Diceros bicornis minor: one gene and its partners. The main gene of each other region encodes a partner of the protein of the gene in region 4 in a complex. Links are inferred from orthologs where the notes say so. Each region holds a gene or a part of one and is shown on either strand. Other genes may lie near its edges.

Region 1 (7,130 bases), on a different chromosome or scaffold from region 4:
CCAAACCAAAGACCACAGGCATTTGAGAAAATCCAGCAACAAGAGACCACAAGATAAATAGAAAAACTGGTCCTGGAAGAAACAATTGAGGGAATAAAAGAGAACTTAATACCCCTAATTAGTATGCTCATAGATACCCCAGATACTGCAATTAGACTTGTGGAACTGGCTACAAAGAACAGCCCATTTTGAACTAACCTAGCACAGACCAGTTACATAAAGATTGGACACAATATATATGAACAACTTGTGAAAGGCATTGGGGAGCAACTGTTGTAGGCCAGACTTGAGGGGGAGAGCACACAGAGGTGAACTTCATATTGACCCTCGCTGTTTCCTTGAGGACAGCTGCCAATTTAGCCTGGGGGAATACACGCAAAGGGGCAGTCCTCCACTGGGCTAGCTTCACAGAGCTTGCACCAGAAAGCTGGCTAAAGTTCCCAGATGGGGCATTGAGCCCCCAAATCTACATGCAATCTCCTGTCAAGGCATTTGCCAACTCCTAAGCTGCTGGTTGTCCTTGCACGACCCCCAAGGGACTCAGAAAGCAGTAACGAGGCTAAGGAGCTGAGCAGAGATATCGGCAGCCATGCGCTTCTGGAGGCGACAGGTTTGGGTCCAAGGCCTGCCAAGGTGGAGTGGCCATGCTTGAGGTCTCCAGAGAGACACATCATTTGAAGTAAGGCCACAAGTGAAATAGACCAGGCCTAAGAAAACCTGAAATCAGACCTCATGATTTAGGTGATCTGCCTGCCAGAAGAAAACTTAACCTAACTCTTTGGAGGAAGATACCATTCAGATCCGCTATGATTTTTAGCACACAACGCTCACTGACTACTCAGAAATTATCAGGTATTATCAGGTATGCTAGAAAGAGGACTTGAATTACAAAAAATAGACAATACAAACAGACCCAGACATGATTCCGATGTTGGAGTTATCAAGACTGAAATAACTACGTGTTCACAAAATAAGGAAAAGATGGAGAATTGTAACAGAGATCTGGAATCTTTTTTTAAAAAAAGCCAAATGGGGGTCCTGCCTGGTGGCATAGTGGTTAAGTTCACACGCACCACTTTGGCATCCCTGGGGTTTGCAGGTGCAGATCCTGGGGCGTGGACCTACACACCACTCATCAAGCCATGCTGTGTTGGCGTCCCACATGCAAAATAGAGGAAGATGGGCACAGACGTTAGCTCAGGGCCAACCTTCCTTGGCAAAAAAAGAGGAAGACTGGCAACAAATGTTAGCTCAGGGCCAATCTTCCTCACCACAAAAAAGCCAAATGGAAATTTTAGAACTGGGATACAATAACTCAAATTAAGAATTTAGTGCATTTGGTGGTTGACTAGATACTACATAACCTGAAACATTCCTGTTATAAACACTAGAAGTGCTAGGGAAAATAATTAGACAAACTTTCTTGAAAGTAAGAGAAATCTTACAATCTTTTTAGGAGGTTAACTGAGGATATACTTCACCAAAATGAGGGATTTTTTTTTTTTTTTGAGGAAGATCAGCCCTGAGCTAACATCCATGCTAATCCTCCTGTTTTTGCTGAGGAAGACTGGCTCTGAGCTAACATCTATTGCCAATCCTCCTTTTTTTCCCCAAACCCCCAGTAGATAGTTGTGTGTCATAGTTGCCCATCCTTCTAGTTGCTGTATGTGGGATGCCGCCTCAGCATGGCCGGAGAAGCGGTGTGTCGGTGGGCACCCGGGATCTGAACCCAGGCGGCCAGCAGCAGAGCGTGCACACTTAACCGCTAAGCCACGGGGCCGGCCCCAAAATGAGGGATTTAAAAGAGGAAACCACAAAGTCTGGCCTGGTGTCATAGTGGTTAAGTTCGTGCACTCCACTTTGGTGGCCCCAGAGTTAGCCAGTTCGAATCCTGGGTGTGGACCTACACACTGCTCATCGAGTCATGCTGTGGCAGTGTCCCACATACAAAATAGAGCAAGAAGGGCACAGATGTTAGCTCAGGGCGAATCTTCCTCACCAAAAAAGAAAAAAAAAAAAAAACAAGATCCAGTTTAGCAGAGCAGTGGAGGGTAGTCCTAAAATGGCAGGTTCTAGAGAGTCCAGATTGGGGTCAGAGGACTGAAGTTTCCAAAGAGTTTCAGGATAAAAAATTCAGTAAATTATCTGTTGTGATGGAGAGTTTGAAAGAAATTGAGAATGTAATGAAGCAAAAATAGAACTCACAGAAAAAACCAGAAGCTGTTCAAGAAAGGAAATGTCATCACAGAACACTCCCTGGGCTCTGCAGTAAACAGTGAGTACTTAGACATAACGTGAGCACTTTATAGACTGACCTAAAAGCTAGTACCATAAAACTACCACGGGGGAGAGGGAAAAGGTGGTAAGAGCAGAAAATCAATATGTAATATATTACTAACGTTGAAAATTGAGAAATAGCATGTTCCTTAAAGAAGCAACTAGCAGATTAAACATCTCTAAGTCATTGCCTCTTGCAGTGGGCAGAGTTAGGACAGGGACAGGGGCTGGTGCTTTTCAATATTAGCCCTTCTGTATCATTTGATTTTGTTCTTAACTCTGTAAATACGTTATTTTTTGTTAAAATTAGAAGAGAAAAGTACTATGAAGGAGAGGGATAGACAGACCTGCTTTCAGTCCTCGCACTTTCCTGGGCTCCATATCCCCATCCGGCTAATGGGGCAGCAGCCAGACTTCTCCACGCTCCTGTCTACATTTCTTACATTTCTTTAGAGGCCTCTCTTGAGAATCTGATACCACTGCCCACTTCCTTTTTCAAAACACTCCCTTCTCATGGTTTCTCCTACCTGCTTATCTTTCTACCTTTCTGGCCATGCTTTCGCTTCCTCCTGACTTTTAGATTTTATTTATTTTATTTCCCCCCAAAGCCCCAGTACGTAGTTGTATGTCATAGTTGCACATCCTTCTAGTTGCTGTATGTGGGACGCGGCCTCAGCATGGCCAGAGAAGTGGTGCCTCAGTGCACGCCCAGGATCCGAACCCGGGCTGCCACCAGCGAAGTGCATGCACTTAACCGCTAAGCCGTGGGGCCGGCCCCCTCCTGACTTTTAAAGGTTAGGAGTGTGGAGGACTCAGTCCTAGATCCTCTTCATTCTATATTCTGCCCCCAGCATTCTTGTCCACTCTTATGGTTTTATTTACCACCTTTGCCCAGATTCCCCAAACTGCTTGGACACTGCACAGGCTCCTCAAATTCAAAACAGCCAATATCCCTCCTCCAGCATAGACCATCTTAGCAAAAGGCCCCGCAAGCAACTTAATACCCACTTCTCCACTTCCCAGTCCTCATAACCAAGACATGTCCAGACACCCCCAAATCTGTCCACTTCTCCTCCATGCCTCTGCCCTGGTCCAAGCCTTCACCGGGTTGCTGGATAGCCTCCTCACTGGTCCCCGCTTCCACTCTTGCTCCCAATCCCCCGTGGCCACAGTGATTTTAAGCACACATTTGAATAGGACATTTTACTCTTAGGAGTTACCATGAAGTCCAAAATCCTCAACACGCGCATGCCAACACACAAGGCCATGCATAAACTGTATCCTGCCAACCGTTTAATCATAAACCACCCCAATCGTCACTCTGCTGACCAGCCATGTGGGCTCTTTCTGCCTGGAAAGTGACTCACGCCCCACCTCAAGGACTCTGTCAGTGTCCCTCCTAGATCGTCACCTCCCCTCTCCCAATTCTGATCACAGTCGTAGTTGGTTGTCCACCTCCCTCCTCCCATAGACTAGGTTCCAGGAGGGCAGTGGGCTTATCTGCTCTGCTCACCATCGCGTCCATCACCTTGGGCCCAGATGTTTAACATACGTTTGTCCAATGAATGTGGAAAAAAGGATAGAAAGGGGATAGACAGGTGAGGCGTGCAGGGCAGACAGACAGAGGCTGCAACAGGAGGGGTGGCAAACCGGGCCGACTGACGCGGGCTGAGGCAGGGCGGCTAGACCGGCCGCAGCAGGTGGAGCGGCGCGCACGCCGGGCCGCGCCTCCGCAGCGGGCGCCCGTCGCCCGGGGCGTGGCCTCGCGCGGGCCCGCCCTCCTCGCCGGCGACCCGGCGGGCGCCGGGCGGGCGGCTGGCGGCAGCGGCGGCGGCGACATGGCTGCGCTGGTGGAGCCGCTGGGGCTGGAGCGGGGTAAGCTCGCCAGGGGGCCCTGCCCACTCGCCCGCAGCCTTCGTCCCGGACCCCGCTCCCCTCCCCTCCCCCGGCAAGGCCCGGGCAGGTGGGCGGGCGGACCAGGCGGGGGTGGGCGGGGCGGGCGCCGGGAGTCGGGAGATCTAGGGTTGTGGGAGGGTCCGTGGGCGAGCGGGCCAGGGAGGGGGCGTCCGCTGCACACCCCTGCCTGTGTGTGTATGGGGATCCTGGGGACGCAGGGCGCCCAGCTGGTCGTAGTCTTTCCCTTGCCACCGGCGACCCTGCGGGTGTCCGACTGGGACTCGGCTGTCCTTCCCGGGGTCTGTCTGCGCTCGCCCCTACTTGGTCTCCGACCGCATCTCTCCGTGCCTCTGCGTCTTCGCGTCTCTGACTCTGTCGCGCCCCGCCCCCGCCCCCGCCCCGCAGACGTGTCCCGGGCGGTGGAGCTGCTTGAGCGGCTCCAGCGCAGCGGGGAGCTGCCTCCGCAGAAGCTGCAGGCCCTCCAGCGCGTCCTGCAGAGCCGCTTCTGCTCTGCCATCCGGGAGGTGAGAGCTGCGCGGCACCGGGGCACGAGCGGGCGGCCGCCGTCCTCCTCCTGGTCGCCCCAAGCTCGGGGACTACGCCTCCCAGCAGCGCCTGGGGCGGTCCGCCCTGGGGTGCCCGCGCTTCGGCACCGGGGCTCTCTGGGAGTTGTAGTTTCCTCGGGCTCCGTGCTGCGGGGGCGTGGTGGATCCTTGGGTGGGAGGGTCTGGGGGCCTGGACTCCTCTCTCTAAGGGGGCGGGGGGGCGGGGGGCTGTGTGGCTGGCGGCTCCCTGATGCTGCTGCGCCCTCACCAGGTATATGAGCAGCTCTATGACACGCTGGACATTACCGGCAGCGCTGAGATCCGGGCCCACGCCACAGCAAAGGTAGACGCCTCCCACTTTCCATCGCTCATGGTATCCACTGGACTGCATGGTCTATCTAGCTCAGGATCTTCTTAATGTCAGTTATTCCTGTTTCCTTCCTCTTTCACGATTTTTGCCAAATCTGTGTACCACCCTTACTATTACTTATTTATAATTTATTTTAAATAATCTCATATTTTTAACTTAAACAAATGTTATGTAAAGGCATCTTTAGCAACTACAAACAGAAATTAGTACTGCATGCCTGATTAGAAGATAACCTTAAACATCTATACAATGAAATAGCGTTAAACACTGAAATCTTTTTATTTCATTTTATTTATTTATTTATTTATTTATTTATTTATTTATTTATTGTGAGGAAGATCAGCCCTGATCTAATAACATCCATGTCAATCCTTCTCTTTTGCTGAGGAAGACCGGCCCTGAGCTCACATCTATTGCCAATCCTCCTCCTTTTTTGTTTTTCCTCTTTTTCTCCCCAAAGCCCCAGTAGGTAGTTGTATGTCGTAGTTGCACATCCTGCTAGTTGCTGTATGTGGGATGCGGCCTCAGCGTGTCCAGACAAGTGGTGCGTCGGTGGGCGCCTGGGATCTGAACCCTGGGCCGCCAGTAGTGGAGCACGCACACCCAACAAACAATGAAATCTTATTGAACTAAAGTTAGATGCTATTTCTTGCTGCTTCCTGGAGGCTCTTAGCTCCTTCCAGGCCTTGTTTTTCTGTGTTAAAAAGCGAGACTGGCAAGTGTCGAGTATTCAAGACTCCCAACAAATGGCGACTTTCTCTTTGACACGTCTGAAGCATGCACAGTGAACTAAAAGGGGCAGACGGTCATTACAGAGTGAGCATGTGGGGAGCTGGGGCAGGGGCCCCGTGCTTGGGGAAAGTGATCTGGCCTCAGTTGTTCTCTCTGGCCCAGATCCTCCACCCCAGTCTGCTCGCCTGCCATGGAGGGGCCCTCACCTCCGATGCTTTCTCTCTCCCAGGCCACGGTGGCCGCCTTCACAGCCAGTGAGGGCCATGCACATCCCAGGGTGGTGGAGCTGCCCAAGACAGATGAGGGCCTGGGCTTCAACATTATGGGGGGCAAGGAGCAGAACTCGCCCATCTACATCTCCCGTGTCATCCCTGGAGGCGTGGCTGACCGCCACGGAGGCCTCAAGCGTGGGGACCAGCTGCTGTCGGTGAATGGTGTGGTGAGTCGGGGGGCTGAGGTCCAGCTGGGGTCACAGTCTGTCCAAGGTCGCATAGTCCCTGTTTTTGACATTCCTTCAGCACACACTGAACACTGCCTCTATGTCCAGCCTTGTGCTGGACACTGCTGCAGACCCTGAGAGAAGTTGGCCTCAGCTCCTACATTTCAAGGACTCCCTCTCTGATGAGAGAGACAAACTTTGACTGAAATAGTCCTAATCCAGGGAGATAATAATGAGGAAGCAGAAAGCATTGTGAGAGCCCAGATGTGGCACCAGACCAGTGTAGATAAGGGAAGTTTTTGTAGAGGAAGGAACATTTTTTGTGTGTGTGTGTGAGGAAGATCAGCCCTGAGCTAACATCCATGCCAATCCTCCTCTTTTTTTTTTTTTGCTGAAGAAGACTGGTCCTGGGCTAACATCGTGCCCATCTTCCTCCACTTTATATGGGACGCCACCACGGCATGGCCTGACAAGCAGTGCATTGGTGCGTGCCCGGGATCCAAACCGAGCCTCCAGCAGCAGAGCACGTGCACTTAACCGCTATGCCACGGGGCCGGCCCCAAGGAAGGAACATTTGAGTTGGGTTTTGAAGAATGAGTAGGAGTTCTCCAAGAAAATAAAGTGGAGAAGGGTTTTTCTAGCTGAGGGTTTTGTAGGTAGAGGCTGTGACTCTGCATTCCTCTGAGCTGAAGAGAAAGGGCTTGATTCTGATGGAGGTCTGAGGCATGCAGGTAATTAAAATCACTGTGGTTAGAGTAGATGGAGGCATAACTGGGTGGGTGGTTGGGGCCAGCCATGCAGGGCCTAAGTGCCAGCCTGAGAAGCTGGGACTTTGTCTCAAGCGTTCTGGGGAGCCATGGGAAGGCTGTGA
Region 2 (6,986 bases), on a different chromosome or scaffold from region 4:
AAAACAGCATCTTTGGGAGACACAGGAAAATTGAATATAAAATATGAAATGTCACAGGAAAGGACTGGGGCTCAAATGTGATAGACACATGAACATTGTATTGCTTCAGAAAAGCTGAAAGTATTATCTGGAACTATTTAGTCAATAAAAATTTACCTGTCATTATTAGTAATCAAAACACTGAACAGTACAAAACACTGTGTGCCAGTGAAGTCACTGTTCATGTCCCAAAGGAAAACACGATATTCATGCAGACCCGAACTGTTCAATAACAGGTGCAGTTAGTGGCAGGGACACATTTAAAACAATGGTACAGGGGCCAGCCCGGTGGCGCAAGCAGTTTAAGTGCATGTGCTCCGCTGCGGCAGCCTGGGGTTCGCCAGTTCGGATCCCGGGAGCGCACCGATGCACGGCTTGGTGGGCCATGCTGTGGTGGCGTCCCACATAAAGTGGAGGAAGATGGGCACAGATGTTAGCCCACGGTTGGTCTTCCTCAGCAAAAAAACAGGAGGATTGGCAGATGTTAGCACAGGGCTGATCGCCTCACAGAAATAAATAAATAAATAAAATAAAACAATCGTACAAATGAATAAAATCAACTGGTCTGTTTTCAACTTAGGATAATTAACACAATGTTTTAATTAAGCCAAGCTCAATCAAATACATACGTGTTTACAAAATAGAAAAATAAAAATAATTAGTTTTGTCATCTGATCTCAATACTAGCGGTGTGATCTTGGGCAAGTTACTGAACCTCCCTATGTCTCAGATTCTCCACTGTAAAATGGAAATAACAGTACCCTCCTTAGAAGAATTACCTGACAACTAAACCAAAAAATACACGGAAAAGGGTCTGGCATGTAGCAAGCAGAAATGTTATGTTACATTGGCACCAATTAATCATAAGAAATAGTAAGCGGTTGTACACATTTATACAGATATATTAAGCACGTTAGGCAATTCGCATTGGGAAGTGTGAGCATAAGTGTTTAACGAATTAAGACATTTTATAAGATTCAGGGTCATGCTACAACACTGTTAATGACTGTCTCTATTTTGATGTTTTTCTTACCTATTTTTGTACCCCAAGGGGCTAGAATATCTATTATTCTACCATTCCTTGCCTCCTTTTAAGTGGAAGAAGTTCTATTATACCAAAGGACTGGAACTTTTTCTTTATAGAATTAATATGGCCTTCTTTGTGTTTGCAGCTGAAAAACTAGGAATAAACGTAGTGAAGAAAGAAGTAGATTTTTCAATTTCAGGTAATAAAAGCTTAAACTGATGTGAATCAAATGCAATGCAAACACACTTTCCCCCATTCTGATACTCTACCACTAGAATGGCTGGTGGATGGGGACTGTTGGTTCATCAGCTATTTTGACTTACAAAGTTACAATATGTAAGCTACATGAAAATTTCCAATTACCAAAAAAATTGAAAAAAGTAAAATACTCTCTACTGAACCCAAGCTGTACCTAATTTGTGCTCAAATGTGTTCCACTGAATCATATGATAATTTAGAAGACATTCAGGATCTTAATCATATGCACTCATTTTATACTGTAGGATTATTGGCAGTGTTAATAAAGTTTAAACAGAATTCTAAATAAGAAACAGAGTTGATGTAATCTGACTTTCTTATCCTGCTAGATGGCAACCGCTAATAATTCATCCTACTAAGATGCTGAGCATTCTACTGTGGAACTGAAGAGAACTCTGAAACAGCAAAAACAAAGCCATGACTACCAAAACTAAATGCCAGAAGTTAAGTTTCACATTTTGTTCTGCACTTAAAAATACAAAAGACTGCCAACATGCTAAAATCCTAAAACTGGCTTTCAAAGAAAAACACCTACTCCTGTTAACACCAAACAGATTTGTTCCCATCGACAAAGCACAGTGCCATTGTGCTCAGGAGGAAGATGTCACCGTCTCAGGCCTAACTTAGTAAATCTTCCCAAAGTTGCTACTTCTCTGTCAAAAATGATGCTTTAATTAATGATCTGGCGGGCTGGGGGGTAACGATGTCGTTTATAAACGGTGAACACCATAAGGAATCAACAATGTTAACTGCACATTGGCTTGTGTGAAGGCATGAGGAAAGAGGTTTCTCTAAATACAACAATTCTAAAAATGCATTCCCTTCTCGGAGCAGAAGTTACTTAATATTCAGAGCATAACTGCAAATGTTAGTATTTCCAAGATATTTTCAATCTCCATCCTATACTTTGTTTACTACTGTACTCAAGATATTTAGTTTGTACTTCTTGACTCTTACCAACGACTTCTAATACTGGTATGCCAAAAGGATGCTTGAAATTGCATGAAATAAAGGATCTGCGGAGGAAAGAGTGGAATGTGGAAAATCTGTAAGAGAACCCTGGTAGGGGCATGGCCATGTATTCTCACTGGCTTTTGGGTCTCTAATTACTCAGCAAAACAAGTTTTATTTTCCTTGACAGTTTCCTCTAAAAAGCAAGCAACCAGCCACAGTGAGCAGTTGTAGGGTTTGTAGAGAAGAAATAAGACTGCACTTGCAAACATTTTACAATCTACCACTATTCCGGCTAGTTATGTAACCTTCTTCCCAAGAGCAAATCAGCAGGACTGTTTTAAAGCACCTTCTCCGTACCTGGGAGGGGCACCAAGGCCAGGAAATACCCCAAAACAAACAGGAGTGAGGTGTGGTCAAGGCAATGACGGGTTTGTGCGTGCACAGGAGCGGTGCTGTGGGGACGCGCTGTGCGTCCAGGACGCGTGGGTGCAGGCGCGGCCGCCGGGCGCGTGCATGAAGGTGGGCAGCCGTGCAGTCCGGCCGGCCGGGCGTGGGAGGGGTGCCTCCGGGCGACGCGGCTCTCAGCCCGGGGCCCATGTGCGGCGCTTGCGGAGGCGGACAGGTGATGACCCGCGCTGCGCCCCGGGACGGTCCGTGCCAACTGCGGTCTGGGCATCACTCGGGAGACCGCAAGCGCCCTCCCTGGGGCCGGGCGCCGCGACGTCGGCGGTCCCCGGGAACAGCGCGAGGGGCAGCCTGGCTCGGGCTCGGAGCCTTGGCCGCCCCTCTCCCCCCGGCGACACGGCCCGCCTCCACCCCCTCCGTCCGCCCCGGCCCCGGCCCCGGCCGCACTCACCCCGCTCCAGCCGCACTGGCTCCCCCAGCGCCGCCATCTTCTTGCTGTGCCCGCAGACCCACAGGAAATGACGACAGAGGGGCGCGGCGGAGGGGCGGGGCCTACGGGAGCCGGGGGGCGGGGCCGGGCGGTATCGCGAGAAAGGGAGCGGGGCCTGGGGGCTTGGGGGACCTCGCAAGGTGGAGGCGTGGCCGGCTCGCCAGGTGGGCTCCGTGCTGTCCCTCCCGGGGTTCCAAGGTTCTGAGTTCCTCGGCCTCCTGAGGTTGAACAGGGCCGCCTTCACGACCTTTGCTCCCTGCCTCGGGATTTAACGTCGTCCCACCCGCTTGGAGCCCTTGGCTCCACGGGGAAGAGTCTGGAGTCTTGTCCCAGCTTGACCTCTACCGGCTCTGTGAGCCCGGACTGCGCGCTTACGCTCTTTCGGCCTCAGTTTCCCCATCTGTGCCATGAAGGCCCCATCTCCGAGGTCTTTTCCATCCTTCAACTGTGGGATTCTGTGACAATCAGGCGTGTCATTGAGATATTGTAAATTCTCCTTTTGTGGCAGCGTTGCTTTAATTTTAAAAATCAGGACAGGAGCCTTCCCTCTAAATCTATTTGCGAGTGAGATTGGAAAGTACGGGAAGCGTGAAGCGCGCCTGGGTGAGTGAGCCAGAGAACAAGGCTCTTTGGTGCACCACGAAGTAACAGTTTAAAAAAGCTGATCCAAAATCTTATGTAAGTGAAATGTCATGAAGCCGTGATATTCTTAATGCGTTACAGAGTCTTAGGGCCACTTTTGAAAACTTCATGAACCAAGAAAAATTTTGTCCTCAGTTTAAATGGAATATTCATTTGCCCGGTGTTTAGATTCCACTAACATTTATTCAAGCCCTGGTCTGTGTTGATAATATCTTAGGTGTTTTCATATACAAGTGTTCAAGACTTCATGATAGGATTGTTTAAACAACCTCCAGGTTGCCCCTGGCCCACCCTTTCCACCCAACTATAATGCTTTCTTCTAATCCATCATGAATGTCACCACTATACCCGCTTTCCCCCTTGAGCCCTGATTTCATCATCAAAGGATTCTGTTCGCAAACTTTCAGTGGTTTCTCACCCTGTTTCCTCTTTCTGAAGCTTTGCGTACTTGACCCTAACATCTATCTAACCTCGTTTCTCGTTATCCCTCGAATGCAACCACCACTCAGGTTGAGGTGGCATATCCAAAACCATGTTTATTCTTGATTTTAAGTCTTCATTTATGTTGCTCTTATGTGGAATGCCCTTCATCTCCTCCACTTCTCCAAACTGTATACATCCTCAGACTGAACCCATCCTCCCGGTCCCTGCTGAAGACACTCCACTTCCACTAAGCTTCCCTTCTCCATCCTCCTCCCCTTCTTTGGTACATGATGGCCCTTATACCTGCAGTAGCACTCATGTGCTCATGTCTTATTCATTGTTGTCATTTGTTCCGCCACAAAGGTGTTCAAGAAGTGTTTGTTAAATGTCTCATGTCTGCCAGGTGCCTTCCTAGGCACTGAGGGTACCATGTGGAGAGAGACAAATGCAGACTTCGCCCTTATTTCTTCCAATATTTTTTCTCCCCCATCCTCGGGCTCCTCTCCTTTGATGACTCCACTTACAGGTGTATTCTGCTGCCTGGCATTATCTCACGGCTCACTGATGCTCAGTTCATTTTGTTTTTTCAAGCTTTTCTCTGCTTCCTTTCTTCAATATCTAATATTCCCTTAATCCCATTTGGTTCACTTTTCATTTTAGACATTGTAGTTTTTATCTCTAGCAGTTTGATTCAGGAGTGTGTGTGTTTTTCTGCATCTTTCATGTTCTTACTTAACATACTCAGTCTTTCCTCTAGCTTCTTGAACATATAGAATACAATTATAATGGCAATTTTAATGGTCTTATCTACTAATTCTAGCATCTGTGCTATTTCTGGTACTGTTTCTATTCATTGATTTTTCTCTTCATTATGGCTCATAATTTCCTGCTTCTTACTTGACTGGTAATTTATATGTATGGTTCTACTCTGCCTGGCAGGAACAGGAACTATTCTCATGAACGGAGATTGTTGATTGTTTACTTTGCTCCTTTTGAATGATCCTTTCCCTATCCTTGGTAATTTCTTTTTTTTTTTTTAATAATTTTATTTATTTATTTATTTTTTCCCCTAAAGCCCCAGTAGGTAGTTGTATGTCATAGTTGCACATCCTTCTAGTTGCTGTATGTGGGACGTGGCCTCAGCGTAGCCGGAGAAGCGGTACCTCTGTGCGCGCCCGGGATCCAGACCAGGCCGCCAGCAGCAGAGCATGCGCACTTAACCGCTAAGCCACAGGGCCGGCCCTATCCTTGGTAATTTCTTAACACATAGAATCATCATGAAATTTCAGAATTCCGTGAATAAGTAGAAGATCCTAAAATTTTCAGAGAAATTGAAAAGAATAAAAAGCTACATTCTAAGGACTGGGAATCAGAACAGTTATAGACCATTAATTATTTGAAGCATAGGTAAGGAAGAAAAAAGTTTTAGGAGCTACTTCTGAGTGAAGAAAATATGATTTAATTAACAACAACCCATTTGTACTCAACGTACAAAATAAAAGAATCAGCTACTGTATAAGGAGAGATTCCCTAAAATGTCCCTCCCTGATTCGTAAATCCTTGAGCGTTAGAATTGGGAGAGACCTAGAGAGTCCCACTCCTTCACTTCACAGAGTGATCGCTGTCCTGGGTCTCAGAGGAGGCCGCTGTGAGCACAACGTGACAGAGCTGCTTTAGCTTTTATGCCCCTGCCGGGTTGTTAAGCCACCAGGCTTCCCAATCAAGAACTACTCTTCCTCTGGAAGAGCTCCTCTTCACCTGTTGCTTCCTCATTTAACTTCCTGCCTCGGAGGGAAAGAGGAACACTCAAGTGAGAATAGGAAGTCTGAGTCTAGACAAATCCCAGTGAAAGCTAAATTAAGCAAATTTAGTCTTTATAGGAAAAATTAAAGTCCTAACTAGGCAGCCAGGGCATGAAAGCTTGCTTTCTTTCTTTCTTTCTTTTTTTTTTTTTGCTGAGGAAGACTGGCCCTGAGCTAACATCTGTTGCCAACCCTCCTCTTTTTTTGCCAAGGAAGATTAGCCCTGAGCTAACATCTGTGCCATTCTTCCTCTATTTTGTATGTGGGTTGCCACCACAGCATGGCTGACAAGTAGTGTAGGTCTGTGCCTGGGTTCTGAACCTGTGAACTGGGCCGTCAAAGGGGAGCTCATGGAACTTTAACCACTATGCCATGGGGCTGGCCCCTTTGTTCTTTTGTTTTTTGCTGAGGAAGATTAGCCCTGAGCTAAGATCTGTGGCAGTGTTCCTCTATTTTTTTTTTTAAAGATTTTGTTTATTTATTTATTTTCCCCCCAAAGCCCCAGTAGGTAGTTGTATGTCATAGCTGCACATCCTTCTAGTTGCTGTATGTGGGACGCAGCCTCAGCATGGCTGGAGAAGCAGTGTATCGGTGCGCGCCCAGGATCCGAACCCGAGCCACCAGCAGCGGGAGCGCACGCACTTAACCGCTAAGCCACGGGGCCAGCCCAGTGTTCCTCTATTTTGTATGTGGGTTGCTACCACAAGCATAGCCGATGAGTGGTGTAGGTCCACGCCTGGGATCTGAACCTGTGAACCCGGGCCACTGAAGGGGACCGTGCCTAAGTTAACCACTAGGCCTTGGGGCCGGCCCCGAAAGCTTTCTCAACTTGTTGCAAATACAATGTGTTAAGACAGTATCAATTAAGAGAAAAAGGGGGTGGGAAAGTTGGGGGTGGGAGGCTGTCTAGAGAGGCAAGGAAATGGAAAGAAATGTGAGGAAGCAA
Region 3 (7,152 bases), on a different chromosome or scaffold from region 4:
TTTCATTGTATGATGGGCACAAGGTAATTCATGAAAAGGCTCATGACTTTTCTGTTAATTATATTATCTTTCACAACCTGACTCTCAATGGCCCTCTTTGGGCTTGTTTTTCTTATACTCCAAATTCAAATTGCCTGTTTGACCCAAACACACACCATATCCGCTCTCCCATCCCTGGCTTTGCTCTCCTGCTCCTCCGAATGCCGTCTCCCTATCTCTGTCTTTTGTAATCCTGACATTATTCTAGACCCAATTCAGTTGTTGTATTATTCATTGTTTGCACAGTACTTAGTCACTAACTGATCTCTTTCTTGTGTATTACTTTGTTTATTGTCTCTCTCCCCTGCAGAATATAAGCTAGGTGAGAATAGGGCTTTTTCTTGCTCCTTGCAACATCCCAATGCCTAGAACAGTGCCTGGCATATGTTAAGTACATTATTTGTTGAATGAACAGACAAATAAGTAGTTATTAAAACAAATCTAAGGATAAAATAAATTTAGTACCATTCTCTATTTATGATGATTTAAAAAAAAAACCCACAAACATTTATATTCTGAAGTATAGGTTGGCACTTCATCTTAATCCAGTGCTATTTTGACAAAGCTGTGAGAATTAAGGAAGATAATGTGATACCTTGAATCAGTCAAAAATAATTTCTAACACCCCAGGCTGAAAGAATTCCAGTTTGAAGGTGCTATTTTCCTCATATGAAACTGTGCTTATTATACTCCATTTATAATCTAACTAAACACATTTTCTCGGTATGCTAATGCTTTGTGCAAACCTTCTCTTAATTTTGTCATATAATTCAAAAAGATTCAATTAAGTGAAACAGACCTTAACGTAGCTTTGAATGAATTTTTTAACAAGAACATATTTTATATTTCAAGGTAGGTGTCATTTTAACGTTAACCTATATTTATGTAGAACAGAACCAGTATCATAGTTCTTTTCTCCTTCGACCTAAATTTCCTCCATACATTCCTCTCTTTGAGTATATATCTCAAGCCTAACAAAAAAAAAGAAAAAGGATCTATGTACATGGGTATATATATACACACATACCTAGAACTCTGAAATAAAAGGCTGAAATCACTAATCTTCAATAATACAAAATGAAGTGTGTTTCCTAATGAGAAGCAGAGGAGCTCTTGAACACAGGTGTGACTATTCTTAAGCAAGTCACTTAACCTCTCAGTTTCAGTTAACTTACCTATAAAATGGGATAGCAGTACCTACTTTTCTGGGCTGAAAAGAGGAGGAAAGAGAAACCAAGCTAGCACCAAGCACCACCTGGCATATACAAAGTGCTCAACAAGTATTTATTCAATTAATAAATTCCATTGAAAATGGAACTAAATTACTGAACTAAATTACTATATGACATTTAATAAAAAATTGTAGTGCTTGTGTAACCAAATAACCAAAAGTATAATCACAGGTGTTTTAACAATTCCCTGATTAATACACAACCAACAAAGCGACACACATATGAATAGATTGAGTATATGGACCTTGATGAAACACTGTGGTTGTCCAGGCAATTATTCAAGAGACCTAAGTATGGTCACATCTACCGATGCAAAAGAAGGGATTAAGGAAATGTTCTTATGTCTCTGCATGTCTCAAATAAGAATTCACAAATGTTATTGGACAGTAGTTAGCTGTTCATAAAAAACAAATTCTAACAGATAATGAATTATCTAGTATTCATTTTCTACACCTGTGTGGACATAAGCTAAAGGCATTGAACTTGCCCCTACTAGAAACAACAACTGATGAGTATATGGTGATTTGTGCTCCCTCTTACTTTCTCTTTCAGTCCTCACAAAAACTCTACAGAGTCAACACAGAGAGAGAATGATAGAGCAAATTTTCACTTAGGGAGCTCAAAGCATAAGCCCAGAAACATGCTGTTAAATGTCTGGTGCTGGGGATACATCAGAAAAGAAAAAGACAAAAAGCCTACCTCTGTGGACCTCACGATCTGGGATTTGTATTGAAATAGGTACAATTTTGGCTTTTAGACTTACGAATCAAGCCGCTCAAATGCATATTCATAAAAATGTGTGTTGTTAAAAGAACTCCATTAGTGGCCAGGGGATTTGTATGTTCTTTTCATCCTCAATTACTGAATGAGGTTTGATATTCTGTGCAAAACCTTGGAACATACTCTGCTGTTATTGTGCACATTCAACTTCTTTCTGTTGTTTGATTTAGGGGATGTGAATAATGCTAATCAACCAGAATTGTTGCTTCTTCCTCTTGCCCACAGCACTTCCTTTCTATGGCACTTAGAGCACTTATTGCATGGAATTCTCACAGCTTCTCATTTTTTATCTCCCAACCTCAACTGAGCACTGTCCAGGGAGAGGGCCACATCTCACTAATCTTTGCAGGGCCAGCTCCTAGCACAGTGCCCGCCCCACAGTTCAGGTGGGACGTATATTTGTTGTATGAAGAAATTTGTATAAACTTTACCATCTTCAAAGCACATTCATGTGCCTGACCTCATCAGATCCTCAGTGGCATTGCAGTGAGATTGAAGAATTAGTCCCCTTATTTTACAGAATCTCAGTGAGATTGAAGGTTATTAATCCCCTTATTTGACAGATGAGAGAACCAGGGATCAGTGAGAGATTACTCGATTACTGAAGAGCACATAAGTAAGACTTGCATTTCAAGATCAGGGTTTTTCTGAAACACTAAATGAAAACATAGGCATATTAAACTAGTATTTTAGGTATATCTTTCTGGTGTGTTAGGTGGATGGCCAAACATCTTTGACTTCCTCAACCATTGGTGAAACCTTGCTTTTTTTTTTCCAAATGTAGACCACAGGATGGAAAAGATCTTCAGAAACCGCCCATATTATAATCAGAAGAAAATGACATTTGAAGAGGGTCAAAAGGTACAAACTTGCCGAAACAAAAGATGACATAGATTACATGTAAATATTTTGCTGCAAAACGGTGTCTGCCTTTAAGAGTTTATTGCTAGCCCAAACAGCTCGTCTCTGTCACAGGGAAGGGGATGGAGGCAGGCAGCTTTGTCATTTCCGATCCTGAACCCACAGTCGTCACCATTCTACTTATACAAAATTTCTCTGTGCTTTTAAATTTATTAATCAGGAAATAAGAGTCCCTACACTGGCAAGATAGTGAAAGCAGTCTGTTGGGGTGAAGGGGTCACAGCCAGTATTTGAAGTTTCTAGTAACGGAATCCTTATCAACTGACTCTAAAGCTACCCTTTTAATAACATCATCTCCCCCTAGATTACAGGCTACAGGAAGGCAGGGACTGCACTGAATCCCCAAGTCAGGCCATGACACATGGCACGTAACACACGTGTTAATCAATCATTAAGTGGCAACTCTGAGTAACCACTGGTTATAGATCAACCTGAAAAACTGCTAGGTACATGTTTATCAAACTTCGTAGTAGAAACTTCTCTTCCTGTTTTTTTATTTAAAACCAGTTTTCAGAAGTTTGCTTTTAATGTTAATTATTTTCTAGGCAATATACTCAGCTCCTTAATGGACACCTAGTGATGGAACCCTGGCCTTGAGTCAGTTATCTTGTAAACTGTTATAAGTCAACATTCCAAAAACCTTTAACAGAAATTAACAGCAACTATACTTAAATCCCAACATTTCTGACCCTAGAAGCATTTTCTCTCTAAAAGGGATGGGATTACTGGGTTGACAATTTCTCTTAATCTGAAAAAATTTATCTCCATCTGCCTTCCCCATGTCCCCCTTTGGATCTTTTCCCTTCCCCCAGACACACGTATACTCTGACCATTTTATTTGAGTGGAAAGTTGAAAGAAAGCAACACGCCAGCTACACCCACCCAGCGCTCCTTGGGGTGGAATAGCCAAGTTCTGGGGCAGAGCCCTCGACCCCAGAGCTCGCGATGCAGTCGCTCTCCGATACCTGCTCAGCTTCACGCCGCATCTGAACGGCCGCCCGCCGCGGAACAGTTGCGTCTCCATCTGGCTGCCAACTCACCCAAGCTTTCTTCTCCTCCGCCACCACCACCTTCCCTCCTTCCCCCTCCTCCCCGTCCGTTCCATCTTCCCTCTCCACCCCGCCCCCAATCTCCTCCTCTTTTTCTCACTACAAGCGGTTGCTGATGCTGAAGCCGAGCGTCACTTCGGCTCCCACGGCAGACATGGCGACATTGACAGTGGTCCAGCCGCTCACTCTGGACAGAGGTAAGGGAACGGCTCGCCCGCCAGGCCACTGCGTCCCCCGTGCCTCTCCCTCTGCCCCTGCCAACTCCCACCGGGACAGCCGGACGCGCTCGGGCACGGGGAGCAGGGCAGCGGGGACGACCGAAGGAGGCTCTCGCGCCGACAGCAGGATACTTTCTTCCCCTTTCTCTGCCCGCCACGTCCCCGCTGCCCCTTCACGGTGCACTCGCCGGCCCAGGGGTGCCTTCGCCGGGCTCTGGCGCCCCCACCGCCACTCCCAGCCCCTCGCCGGGTCGCCTCGGGCCGCCGGCTTTGTTGGAGCGGATGCGCGGGCACCGCTAGGCGCCCGGGGCTCGGGGTTGGAGAGGGGCAGGGAGGAAGCTCGCCGTGCCGGGCGAGGGCGCCTGCAGCCGGAGACCGGGGAAGCCTGGCGAGGGAGCCGCCTGCCAGCCAGCGCGGCCGCGGGGCCCAGGAGGAAGGAAGTTTGTCCCGGCGCCGGGGGCGATGGTCGGTCCCGCAGCGGGTGCCCAGGCAGCCGCCCGGGGGCGGGCAAGGTGCACCCCAGGGTGGGCTGTGCCGGGACGCACGGCTGCTCGGCTGCCGCGGCGGGGAGCTGCCCTCGGCCGAAAGGGCAACGCGCAGCGCTGGCAGCCGTGCCCGGGCCCGGGGCGCGCGTCGCGGCAGCCGAGCCCGGCTCTCTCCGGCTGCGCGCCCCGAAGGCTGCGGGGGTCGCGCCTGCCCCCGCCGCCGGCAGCTCTCTGGCAAAGGCAACTCAGTTTCTCCTGCCCCTGCCCGCCTCGTTCTCTCCCAGCCCGGTGCCACCGCGGTGCCCGGGCTGCGGAAGGCGCTGGGACGCAGCGCAGCCTGGGTGGAAATGCAACTTCTGACCCGCGACCCTGTGCGTCCTGCTCTCCTGCTTGAACGCGGAAGCAGCGTTTGCTTCCTCCCCAGGACCTCCGCAAGCCTAAGGGGGGAATCCTCCAGTGTGATCCGGCCCTCTCTGGTGCAGCCGTGCGGGGTTATACCTGTCCCTGTGTGTCCGGGTTTCCCTTCTGGCTGGCGACGTCCAGTTCTGAAGGCGCTGGAGTCCCACGACTCTGCCGCGGAGGACACCTGCTCCTCCCGGTCCGCAGGGGCCGGATTTAGGACCCTGAGTGGCCGTTTGGAAATGGTGTGCTCAGACGAAAATGATTTAGTCCGATGTGTCTCTAAAAATATTCTTTCTAGCAGATCAAACTGGCCTGTGGGGCAAGGCAAAAAAGCATCCTGCTGCGAGAACAGTGGAAAAGCCAGTGAACTCTGTGAGGTTTTTAATTTGGAGAGGTTGTGGGTGACTTGAATGCAATCTGTTGGCTCCAGAACACATGTTATGTGGTACCCGTACAACCTTACTTGGCGTAAGAGTTGAAAAATAAAAAATAATTGATTTTATGTTGGGAAATGTTGATTTGCAAGCTAGTAAATTAATAACAGTAGTTAAAGAGCTCGGAAATGCATTGTATAATCCATGATTTCACCCCAATATCATCATCTGCACTAAAGCAGGATAAATCCATTGCCACTAAGAGCCAAACAGATGGCAAGCTATTAGAAATTATGGATTTCCCACGTATTTCTGTTTTAGTGTAATGAGCTCTTATATTGTCCCATTACTAAATCAGTCTTTAAACCTCTCAAGTAAAACGACTACATTAGGAGGGGAAAAAACAAACTCAAAGAAAATTGCATACTACTACTACTAAAAATATTTCACTTTTGGGGTTTTACCTCAGCGCTTAGATGCCTGGCTCAGTTGTGGGTAGGAAGTGCAATCAGACCAAAATCTATTCTTAAAGTTTGTTCCTGTTCACAACCAGTCTGCACCTGTCCTTCCCAGTGTGATTAGGTCCATGCAGAAAGTAGCTCAGGAGGCAATCTGAGTGAGACTATGGATGGATTTGAATCAATCCACCAGCAGCTCACTGCCAAGTCCATAATTTACAGATGATGGATTATTGGCATCATTGCTGTGCATGAAGTCAATATATATAAATATTTTTTTCTCTACCTTATAAAAATGATTAATTAATTGATTAATTGCATCATTAAACCAATGAAAGAAGGGGTTCTGGAAAATTTCCTACAGAGAAAGAAAGCCTTTCAAAAGAGGCAGCCTAATGATACTTACCTGGGTCCTAGTGGTAACTCAGATACTCACTTCGGATGGGTTGGTTAGCCTCTTTGGGCATCGGTTTTCCTCTGTGCCACATAAGGAATTTAGATTAGACGATTCTGACACTGTGCAGCTTTACCAGTCTATAATTAAATTAATTAAAATTAGGACTCAGTTTCTGGCTACCTACTGGAAGATTTTCCAGCTCACCCCCTCTCCCAGACTGTTTTGGTGCCCTTTGATATGTTCTGAGGCTACCCGCTGCTTTGGCTCCATCAAAGCATTTCTCACACTCTGTTGCATCTGTCTCCTCATTGAATGGAGCTCAAGAGACCATTTCTAAATTCATCTTTGTATTCTCAGTGGCTGCCATAGTCCCTGACTCACAGTAGAAGATCAAAAATTAATGTAAGTCAGTATAAGTGAACCAAGGACTGCAGTCACTTAAGCACTGTTAAAATATAGGATGTAGCGAACTGAGGTATGGCTCATAGATGCACATTTTGGCCCTGGGAAGGACGGCAGGGAGAACATAGGCCAGTGGTTCTTCAGCTTTCTTTTCCCCTCTACACTTGATGGATTCCCATCAGTAACCATAGCTCACCAAGGCTGTGATTATTAACCAAGGGGGATTGTGGCAGGTGGGCAAAGGAAAGGAGAGAAAGGAAAGAAAATGCCTGACAAAGTCTCCCCAGGGCATCTCAGCGAACCTGGATACATAATCCACAATTTGAGAGCTGCTGGTTCTTTTCTCACATCTTCATTTTTCAAATGAGAAACATGAAAGAAGCAATGATATGAGA
Region 4 (7,803 bases):
GGTGTAATTATTGAGGCTGTCTGCCCTTGAAGGCTGGGACCATGGTTTAGAGACTTTTGCATCCTCTTTGCTTGCACAGTGCCTGGTACATATCCAATAAATGCCAATCGGATCAGCACACTCAGATGTAGGGAAATGTTGAATCACTAGAGTTCTTTGGGCACTTAAAGCATCACAAGGTGGAGGAGGTTGCACGGGTGGATGAGGGCAGCAAAGATTCAAGATGGAAAGAAGAAATGAGTTATTCTCCAAAGGCTGAGCATGCCAATGTTTAGAAGGCCCCAGATATTGGAAGGGAAATAAATTTTTTTTAATCACTAAAAATTCATTAACTACCAACTGTGCTTGGCACTGGGAAATCAAAGATACCTGACAAGTCCTCTTTTCCTAAGGACTTCATATTTATTAAGAATTGTTACTCAGAATGGCAGGTGCTATAATATAATAATGACATATATAATGATAAATGAAGTACAGTGGGGACAAAGTGAGGAGTTAATTAGGCCTTAACACTCCCCTGCTTAAACCTCCCCAGTAGGATGCCAGTAGGATTTTACTTTTGAAATAAAATCCAAACTCTTTACCATGATGTACCAGGCCCTCCCAGCCCATTCCCATCTCTACATCCTCATCTCTCACACACCATCCCTTATTCACTTCACAAACATCATTTCCGTCCTTAGACACAGCAAGTTCCTTCTCACCTCAAGGCCCTATCCTCTGATCTTTACTTGACTGCCTCTTTCTTTATCATTTAGACCCCAGCTCAAATATCACCTCCACTGGCCATTATCTACCTAACCCCCTCTCCTCGGTCACTTTCTTTGCCATTACCCTGTTTTTTTTCCTTCATGAGACACTTCACTCTCTGAACTTATCTGGTTTGTTTATTTACATAATTATTGTCTGTTCCCCTCTCCTTTCCCTCCACCGCCCCATGCACTAGAATGGGGGCTTCATGAGAACGCAGAAGCTTGTCTGGCTTGGTCACTGCTCTGTCCCCATGCCTAGAGCATTGCCTGGAGGCTGGCACATAATAGACAGTCATCAAGTATGAACTTGCTCCAGTGAAGATAAGAAAGATTCGCCAGAGAAAAGTTATCGGTGATAACTATGCTGAGGGCAGGGAAGGCAGTTAGGGCAGTGTTGGGGTGCTGGAACACAGGGTGCAGGTGAAGTGTGGAGAAGAGGCTGGAGGAGTGACGTGGCCCATGGTCTTTGTTTGCAGGGAGTAGGACTCAAGAACCCAGAGCCCAGAGCTAGAGAGCAGGGGTCAGATGCCAGTTCCAGCCTTCCCAGGTGTGTGGCCTGGGGCGATTGCTTAACCCCACCATGCCTCTATTTCTTCATATTTAAAAGAGCTGATAATTCTCTCTATGAAGAAAGAAAAGTACCCTCTTCATAGGCTAATATGAGGATTAAATGAGTCATTATGTAGAAAATGTCTAGTTGTGCCTGGTATATAGTTATCTAAGTATTCATATTATGCACTAGAGAGGAATCACTGAAGAATTTGAGAAATAGGGTAGTGGGATTCAGATTTGTATTTTAGAAAGATCATCAGGCTAGCAGTGGGGAGGATGGACTGGAGGAGGCTGAGAAATTAGTTAAGGAAACAATTGTGTAGGCGAGATGGACCACGATAAGGCAGTGAGGATGATGCAAGAATTATTAAGACAATGGACTCGGTCATCAGTTTGGGGAAGGAGGTGAGGGAAAGAGACCAGTCAGTCATGATTCCTGGATTTGAGGCTTGGGCGACTGGGTGGCTGGTGGTGCCATTCACCCATACAGGAAACACAGGAGGGGGGCCAGGTTTGGGACCCTGGGTGGGGAGGCAGGGGGAGGAGGTATGATTTGTTCAGCTGTGGCAGGTTGAGTTTGGGTGCTGTGGGAACCCCAGGTGGAGCTACCCAGCAAGAAAACCCCACATCTCCCTGGATCACAATATGAGCTAACATGCTTAGCACTGTACTTATTGGTACTTAATACATGTTAGCACTTAACATTTAGTGTTCATAATCTTTGCTTTTTAAGCAAATACCATGAGAAACATCTTCGACCACATCTGAGTTTTTCCTTCTAGATTTCTATTAGTAATTAGTGGTAGGGACAAAGGTATGTTATCTTTTGAAGATTTTAATTCATCTTGCCAAATTGCTTTTTAAAAAGGTTGTATCAATATATATTCCCACAGTAACCTGGGATTCTTGAAAAACAGCCTCCATATTTTTTTATAAATACCACCCCCAAAGTTGCCAGGGTACGGGAACAGTCCTCTCGTGCTACCAGTGGAGCTGACCACCGACGTCAGCTCCATCCTTAGAAGCTGCTAGTTGCCTCTGTCCTAGGGAAATGCTCAAATCAATGGCTGTTATTAATTGGCATGTTGCCAATACCACAACCCCACCTATATTCTTTAAACCATGACAGTGAGTAAAATATGAACACTCCATGCCTAAACACTCCCCTGAGGATTGGGAATCAGGGTATAAAGAGAAAGGACTTAGTGAAGAGAAAACTCCACTCTACCAAGCTACATGATTTTAACAGTATTTCCCCCTAAAAAACAGGTTTCTTATAACTTTCTTTGCCATGATTTAGTGTATGTACAAGCATGGAAATCACATTTCCTTTGAATCAATCAGTGCTGTATGAGAGGGCGCCATTTGCGGGTCAAATACAATTTTAACCAAGAATAAACTTTCTTTTTAATATATGTATCAATAGCTTTTCATCAATAAAATCTATTTTCACTGAAGACAGTGTTTTGGTTAGTTCTGCAGGTGTTTATCATGAATTGTTGGCCATTTGGTACTTCAGATGGTTGTTAATTATATTTCTAACACTGTTCACACACAGCTGACACACTGCAGGGTAACAGTACCTGGAAAAGTGTTTAGTATGCTTAGTATCCCTCTCTCTGAACACTTGTTTTGTGTTCATCAGACTTGGATTTGTACATTAATGTGGTTTTTAATCTGTTGTCTTTTCCAGAGAGTCCTTATAAAGGAAACGTGGGTAGACAGTTCTTGTCCATGTGTTGTATTGAACTGAATATTTGTTTTGTATTTTCCACCATCCACTGGAGGCCACTTAACCAGGGGACCCTCAGCACCAATACTTGCCTCTTCTCTTCAGAGCATTAACCATCCATCAAAGTCTGAATGGAGACTCATACTTGCTTTTGGAAAACTTTCTTATACCTCGTCCACAGCCACTTTTCTCAGGGGTTAATAAGAGGCCACAGTTTTTCAAAGGAGACTAGGTCTAATTTGTATAAAGTGGGACTCTTGTCAAGTAGGGAAGCAATAAGGATGGATCATCTCTAGAAAGCCATAATTGTTTTCTTCCAGTGTATGTCAGTCAGGGGTGGATCCATCAAAGAATGGGGGAAAGATGATACTTCTGCTTGAGGGTGACCTTGCTAGCTCCAAAATGGCCTCCTTTTCTACTGGGATTGGCATAGAGCTTGAAGGGAATTGCTATGGTTGTGGTAGGGAGTTGAGTAGAATATAATGCATCCCAATATTAGAGAGTCATTCAGATGTCCCTGGTCCTCCTGGAGCTTTCTGCTATTACATTAAAGAGTTCACTTCCCATCCATTTTGTCCGTCTGTAACATGGGCTCCCAAAAGAACACTCAGAGAAAAGTTTACACACATCGTTGACCCCATTTACCACAGGTGTCTTGAAATCACAGGGATTCTACCTGTTTTTGTTGTTCTTTACATCCTGTGTATCTATTCCATACACTAGACACAGATTATGCTATAAAGCTATTTTGTGATCAGAAGACTTGAGAGAGGTTAAAACCAAGTCTGTCTCTCTAGCTACAAATTCCTCTGGAAATAGGTAAAGAGACCTACTCATATTTTTAAGAAATTAGCCATATTATTCCAGTTCCAGCTATAATGGTAATTCATAGAATCACAGAATTTTAGATCCTGGGTGTACTGCAGAAATTGAGCTAGTCAGTGTTTCTTGAAGTGTATTTGTCAGAGAACTCTGGCCTCTAGGAAACAAGTGTTTCCTCGAAACAAGTTTGGGAAACCCTGCATCCTGTATCTCCCTCCCTTTGAATACTCACAATGAAAAGTCAACTCTAAGTCAGCATTGCCCAGACTTATTTGACCAGGGAGTCTTTTTTCCCTGTGTAAGAGCTGTTAACATCCTGCTGTAGGAAATGACTCCAGTCTCATAGTGGAGATCCAGAAAATTAAGCCACTTGTCTAAGGTAACAGAGCCAGTAATGACAGGAGGTGAACCCGTTCATGGTTGATAGCCTCCCTCAGACTGGCTGCATATTTGTAGTGACAGCAGTGGCTTCAAAACATTTGAAGATTATTTTTTTACTTGAAATTTATTTAAAGACTCGTTTCTAAAGTATCTAGGATCCTAGTTTAATTTAGAGAGATTTATCCCTTAGCAGATGGATAATGTGTCAGTTGGCCTATTCACTTTAGTAGTACTCTTTATTCATATGCATCAGAAACGACCTGAATAGTAAGCATAGGGAGAACAAAACGCTCCTGAGGGCCCCATTCTGAGGGGTGGGGAAGGGAGAAGGCCAGTAAGCAATTGAACAAGCAGATATGTACATGCTACGAAGAAAATGAACTACGTGCTGTCAGACTGAGCTTAAATTTGCAATCATTTTTTAATTGGCCCAGATTCAGAAGGGATCAATAGCAGCTGTTTTTATGGTTATCTTGGTACTCAGCTCATGACTACAGCCTGAACCACATAACAGCTCCTCCCCTTCTTGCTTTTCCAGCCTGGTGGAGCAAAATGAGAGCGCACTGAGCCGGCCTAGCCTCTCTCCCAGCCGTCCCCGACGCCCACCATGAACCACTTGGAGGGGGCCGCGGAGGTGGAGGTGACCGACGAGGCGGCAGGCGGGGAGGTGAACGAGTCGGTAGAGGCCGACCTGGAGCACCCCGAGGTGGAGGAGGAGCAGCGGCAGCAGCACTATGCGGGCCGCCCCCCGCGTGGGCGCGCCGTCGAGGACCTCTGCGCCCAGCCCGGGCAGCCGGAGGAGGAGGAGCGCGGGGAGTGCCTGGCGCGCTCGGCCAGCACGGAGAGCGGCTTCCACAACCACACGGACACGGCCGAGGGCGACGTGATCGCCGCGGCCCGCGACGGCTACGACGCGGAGCGCGCGCAGGACCCGGAGGATGAGAGCGCCTACGCCGTGCAGTACCGGCCCGAGGCCGAGGAGTACACCGAGCAGGCGGAGGCTGAGCACGCCGAGGCCACGCACCGCCGCGCGCTGCCCAACCACCTGCACTTCCACTCGCTGGAGCACGAGGAGGCCATGAACGCCGCCTACTCGGGGTACGTCTACACGCACCGGCTCTTCCACCGCGGCGAGGACGAGCCCTACGCCGAGCCCTACGCCGACTACGGGGGCCTCCAGGAGCACGTGTACGAGGAGATCGGGGACGCGCCCGAGCTGGACGCGCGCGACGGGCTGCGGCTGTACGAGCAGGAGCGCGACGAGGCTGCCGCTTACCGCCAGGAGGCCCTGGGCGCGCGGCTGCACCACTACGACGAGCGCTCCGACGGCGAGTCCGACAGCCCCGAGAAGGAAGCCGAGTTCGCGCCCTACCCGCGCATGGACAGCTATGAGCAGGAGGAGGACATCGACCAGATCGTGGCCGAGGTCAGGCAGAGCATGAGCTCGCAGAGCCTCGATAAGGCGGCCGAGGACATGCCCGAGGCCGAGCAGGACCTGGAGCGCGCCCCTACCCCCGGCGGGGGCCGCCCCGACGGCCCCGGGCTGCAGGCGCTGGCAGGGCAGCAGCGGGCTGCGGGCACCGTGGGCGGCGAGGCGGTGCAGCGGTACAGCAAGGAGAAGAGGGATGCCATCTCGCTGGCCATTAAGGACATCAAGGAGGCCATCGAGGAGGTGAAAACCAAGACCATCCGTTCGCCTTACACCCCCGACGAGCCCAAAGAGCCCATCTGGGTCATGCGCCAGGACATTAGCCCCACCAGGGATTGTGATGACCAGAGGCCGGGGGATGGAGATGTAAGTATGCGCGGGTTCAGGCTTGCTCGCCTCCACGCGCGGCCAGGAGGGGAGACGGGTGCTGTGTGGCCTTGTTTGTCACTGGGAAATGACTTCATGAGATAAATGGTCTGTGGGAACTCTAAAAACGTGTCCAGCGTAAGCCTCACAAACGGCTTGCACTTAAGCGCCTGTGAGTGAAACACAGGTGGGAGGGAGTTGAAGTGTTGAATGCGCTTATCAGACCCTTAGAGGGATTGCTGTAAATCAGTGGTTCTCAAACTGTTCCTGGAGCGCCTGTTCAGAAATTAATTTCTAGGCGCACTAACCCCCGCCCCTAGTTTCTCATTTAGAAGGTCTGGGGCCTGACAATTTGTATTTCTATTGTCAAATACAAAACAAGTCCGGATTAAGTAAGGAGAGACTTTATTGGAAAGGAATATTGCAACAGGGCAACCTCTGACTGTAAGATCTGCAAGGGTCTCTAGGGTTAGGCAAAAAGGGGGTTTGTTTTCTAGGGAGGAGTAAACAAGGCTAGAACGAACAAGAGCTGAGGCAGTGGGATGAAAGATTGGCTTGAATGTGTTGCCCAGGAGAGAATGTTTTAAGCCGAGACCAGCCTACTCTCAGGAGGGGCTGTTGAGGACAGGTGGTAGGCTGGCCAAAGTTCAGGGACCTGGAGGAAGGAGACAAGCTTAACCAAAGGTTGGTTACCAAGCATTTTGTTCTGATTAATCAGCAGTTCAGCCAATCATTTGTGAGGCAAAGAATGGGAATTTGGAGGGTCTGTGTCTGGCCTTGTCATAGGTAAACAAGGGGACTCCGGGGGAGTCTTACCTGCATCATATGGGCAAGGGGTTTCTTTGCAGTAAACTGTTTCCTGAACACAAAAGGTAGGGGTGTTTCCTTAACCTTGACTGTTTTCCAGGCTCACAGGGCTCAGGTGAAGTTCAGCATTGCCACTAACAAGTTCCCTGGTGATGCTGCTGCTCCTGGTCCAGGACCACAATCTGAGAACCCCAACCTTAAAGCAGTCCCTTAAAGGTTTGCGGCTGGCAGTGTAGCCTTTTTGGAGGAAATCCTTCTGAGCCCGTTCCTGCCAGGGGTTCCAGTTTTTTTACCCACCCTGTGCTTCATTGTCGGTTTCAGTAAGTGCTTAATTTTCACTTCTGGTGGTACCAGGGCGTCCTTCTCACTTCACAAGACGTGTTTGGGGTTTTAAACTGAATTGTGCTTCCTTATGAAGAGCTACAGAAAGCTGTTGCCGCCCCTGTCGAAATTTTATTTTCCATTTTTGAAATACCCAAGAAATTTGATAACATGGCAAGCGTGGGTGTCACAATCTGTTCAAAATAAATCAAGAAGACTAACCTTTGCCCCCACTACCTGGCTCTAAAGATTCTCTTTCTGCTCTGACTCTCACTTCTCCATTCTCTTGGATAATTTTTAAGCACTTTCATTTAAAATGGGAGCTTGGAGTAAAAGAAGGGTCAAGAGGTTAAATTCAATTTCATTTAATTCTGTATTTTATGATTGCACCAGGCTGTTTCTCAGTATGTCTTTTGGAGTGAGAAACCATTATTGGAAGCTGTTTGTTCATTTTACTTATACGTAAAGGGCTATGCAGGTCAGAGAAGTGTCATTCACCTCCTCCTTTAGTAACAGTCAACATTTGCTGTTAGCTGATTAAGTCACTGGCACCTTTAAGGAAAAGTTGGACACCAGTCGGGAAAGGCTCTGCATCCTCCCCAGCAAGGGGGCAGCACTGGGTCAGCGACGCCCTGTAATCT

The links.
Region 1: APBA1 (region 4) and LIN7B share a complex: the UniProt entries of both Homo sapiens proteins name them as parts of the brain-specific heterotrimeric complex. The link is inferred for Diceros bicornis minor from reciprocal best matches to the Homo sapiens genes APBA1 and LIN7B.
Region 2: APBA1 (region 4) and LIN7C share a complex: the UniProt entries of both Homo sapiens proteins name them as parts of the brain-specific heterotrimeric complex. The link is inferred for Diceros bicornis minor from reciprocal best matches to the Homo sapiens genes APBA1 and LIN7C.
Region 3: APBA1 (region 4) and LIN7A share a complex: the UniProt entries of both Homo sapiens proteins name them as parts of the brain-specific heterotrimeric complex. The link is inferred for Diceros bicornis minor from reciprocal best matches to the Homo sapiens genes APBA1 and LIN7A.

What each region holds. Positions count from the first base shown.
Region 1 is NC_080773.1:24,606,854-24,613,983, forward strand, and holds the start of LIN7B (protein lin-7 homolog B), read left to right. Parts: upstream 1-4,096; 5' UTR 4,097-4,115; coding exon 4,116-4,152; intron 4,153-4,578; coding exon 4,579-4,697; intron 4,698-4,989; coding exon 4,990-5,061; intron 5,062-6,049; coding exon 6,050-6,259; intron 6,260-6,915; coding exon of another isoform or gene 6,916-6,981; exon of another isoform or gene 6,982-7,130. UniProt on the Homo sapiens protein: Plays a role in establishing and maintaining the asymmetric distribution of channels and receptors at the plasma membrane of polarized cells.
Region 2 is NC_080746.1:83,526,416-83,533,401, forward strand, and holds the start of LIN7C (protein lin-7 homolog C), read right to left. Parts: upstream 3,031-6,986; 5' UTR 2,955-3,030; coding exon 2,636-2,954; intron 356-2,635; exon of another isoform or gene 164-355; coding exon of another isoform or gene 157-163; intron 1-156. UniProt on the Homo sapiens protein: Plays a role in establishing and maintaining the asymmetric distribution of channels and receptors at the plasma membrane of polarized cells.
Region 3 is NC_080764.1:39,186,647-39,193,798, forward strand, and holds the start of LIN7A (protein lin-7 homolog A), read left to right. Parts: upstream 1-4,136; coding exon 4,137-4,218; intron 4,219-7,152. UniProt on the Homo sapiens protein: Plays a role in establishing and maintaining the asymmetric distribution of channels and receptors at the plasma membrane of polarized cells.
Region 4 is NC_080761.1:23,668,199-23,676,001, forward strand, and holds the start of APBA1 (amyloid-beta A4 precursor protein-binding family A member 1), read left to right. Parts: upstream 1-4,784; 5' UTR 4,785-4,846; coding exon 4,847-6,034; intron 6,035-7,803. UniProt on the Homo sapiens protein: Putative function in synaptic vesicle exocytosis by binding to Munc18-1, an essential component of the synaptic vesicle exocytotic machinery. May modulate processing of the amyloid-beta precursor protein (APP) and hence formation of APP-beta.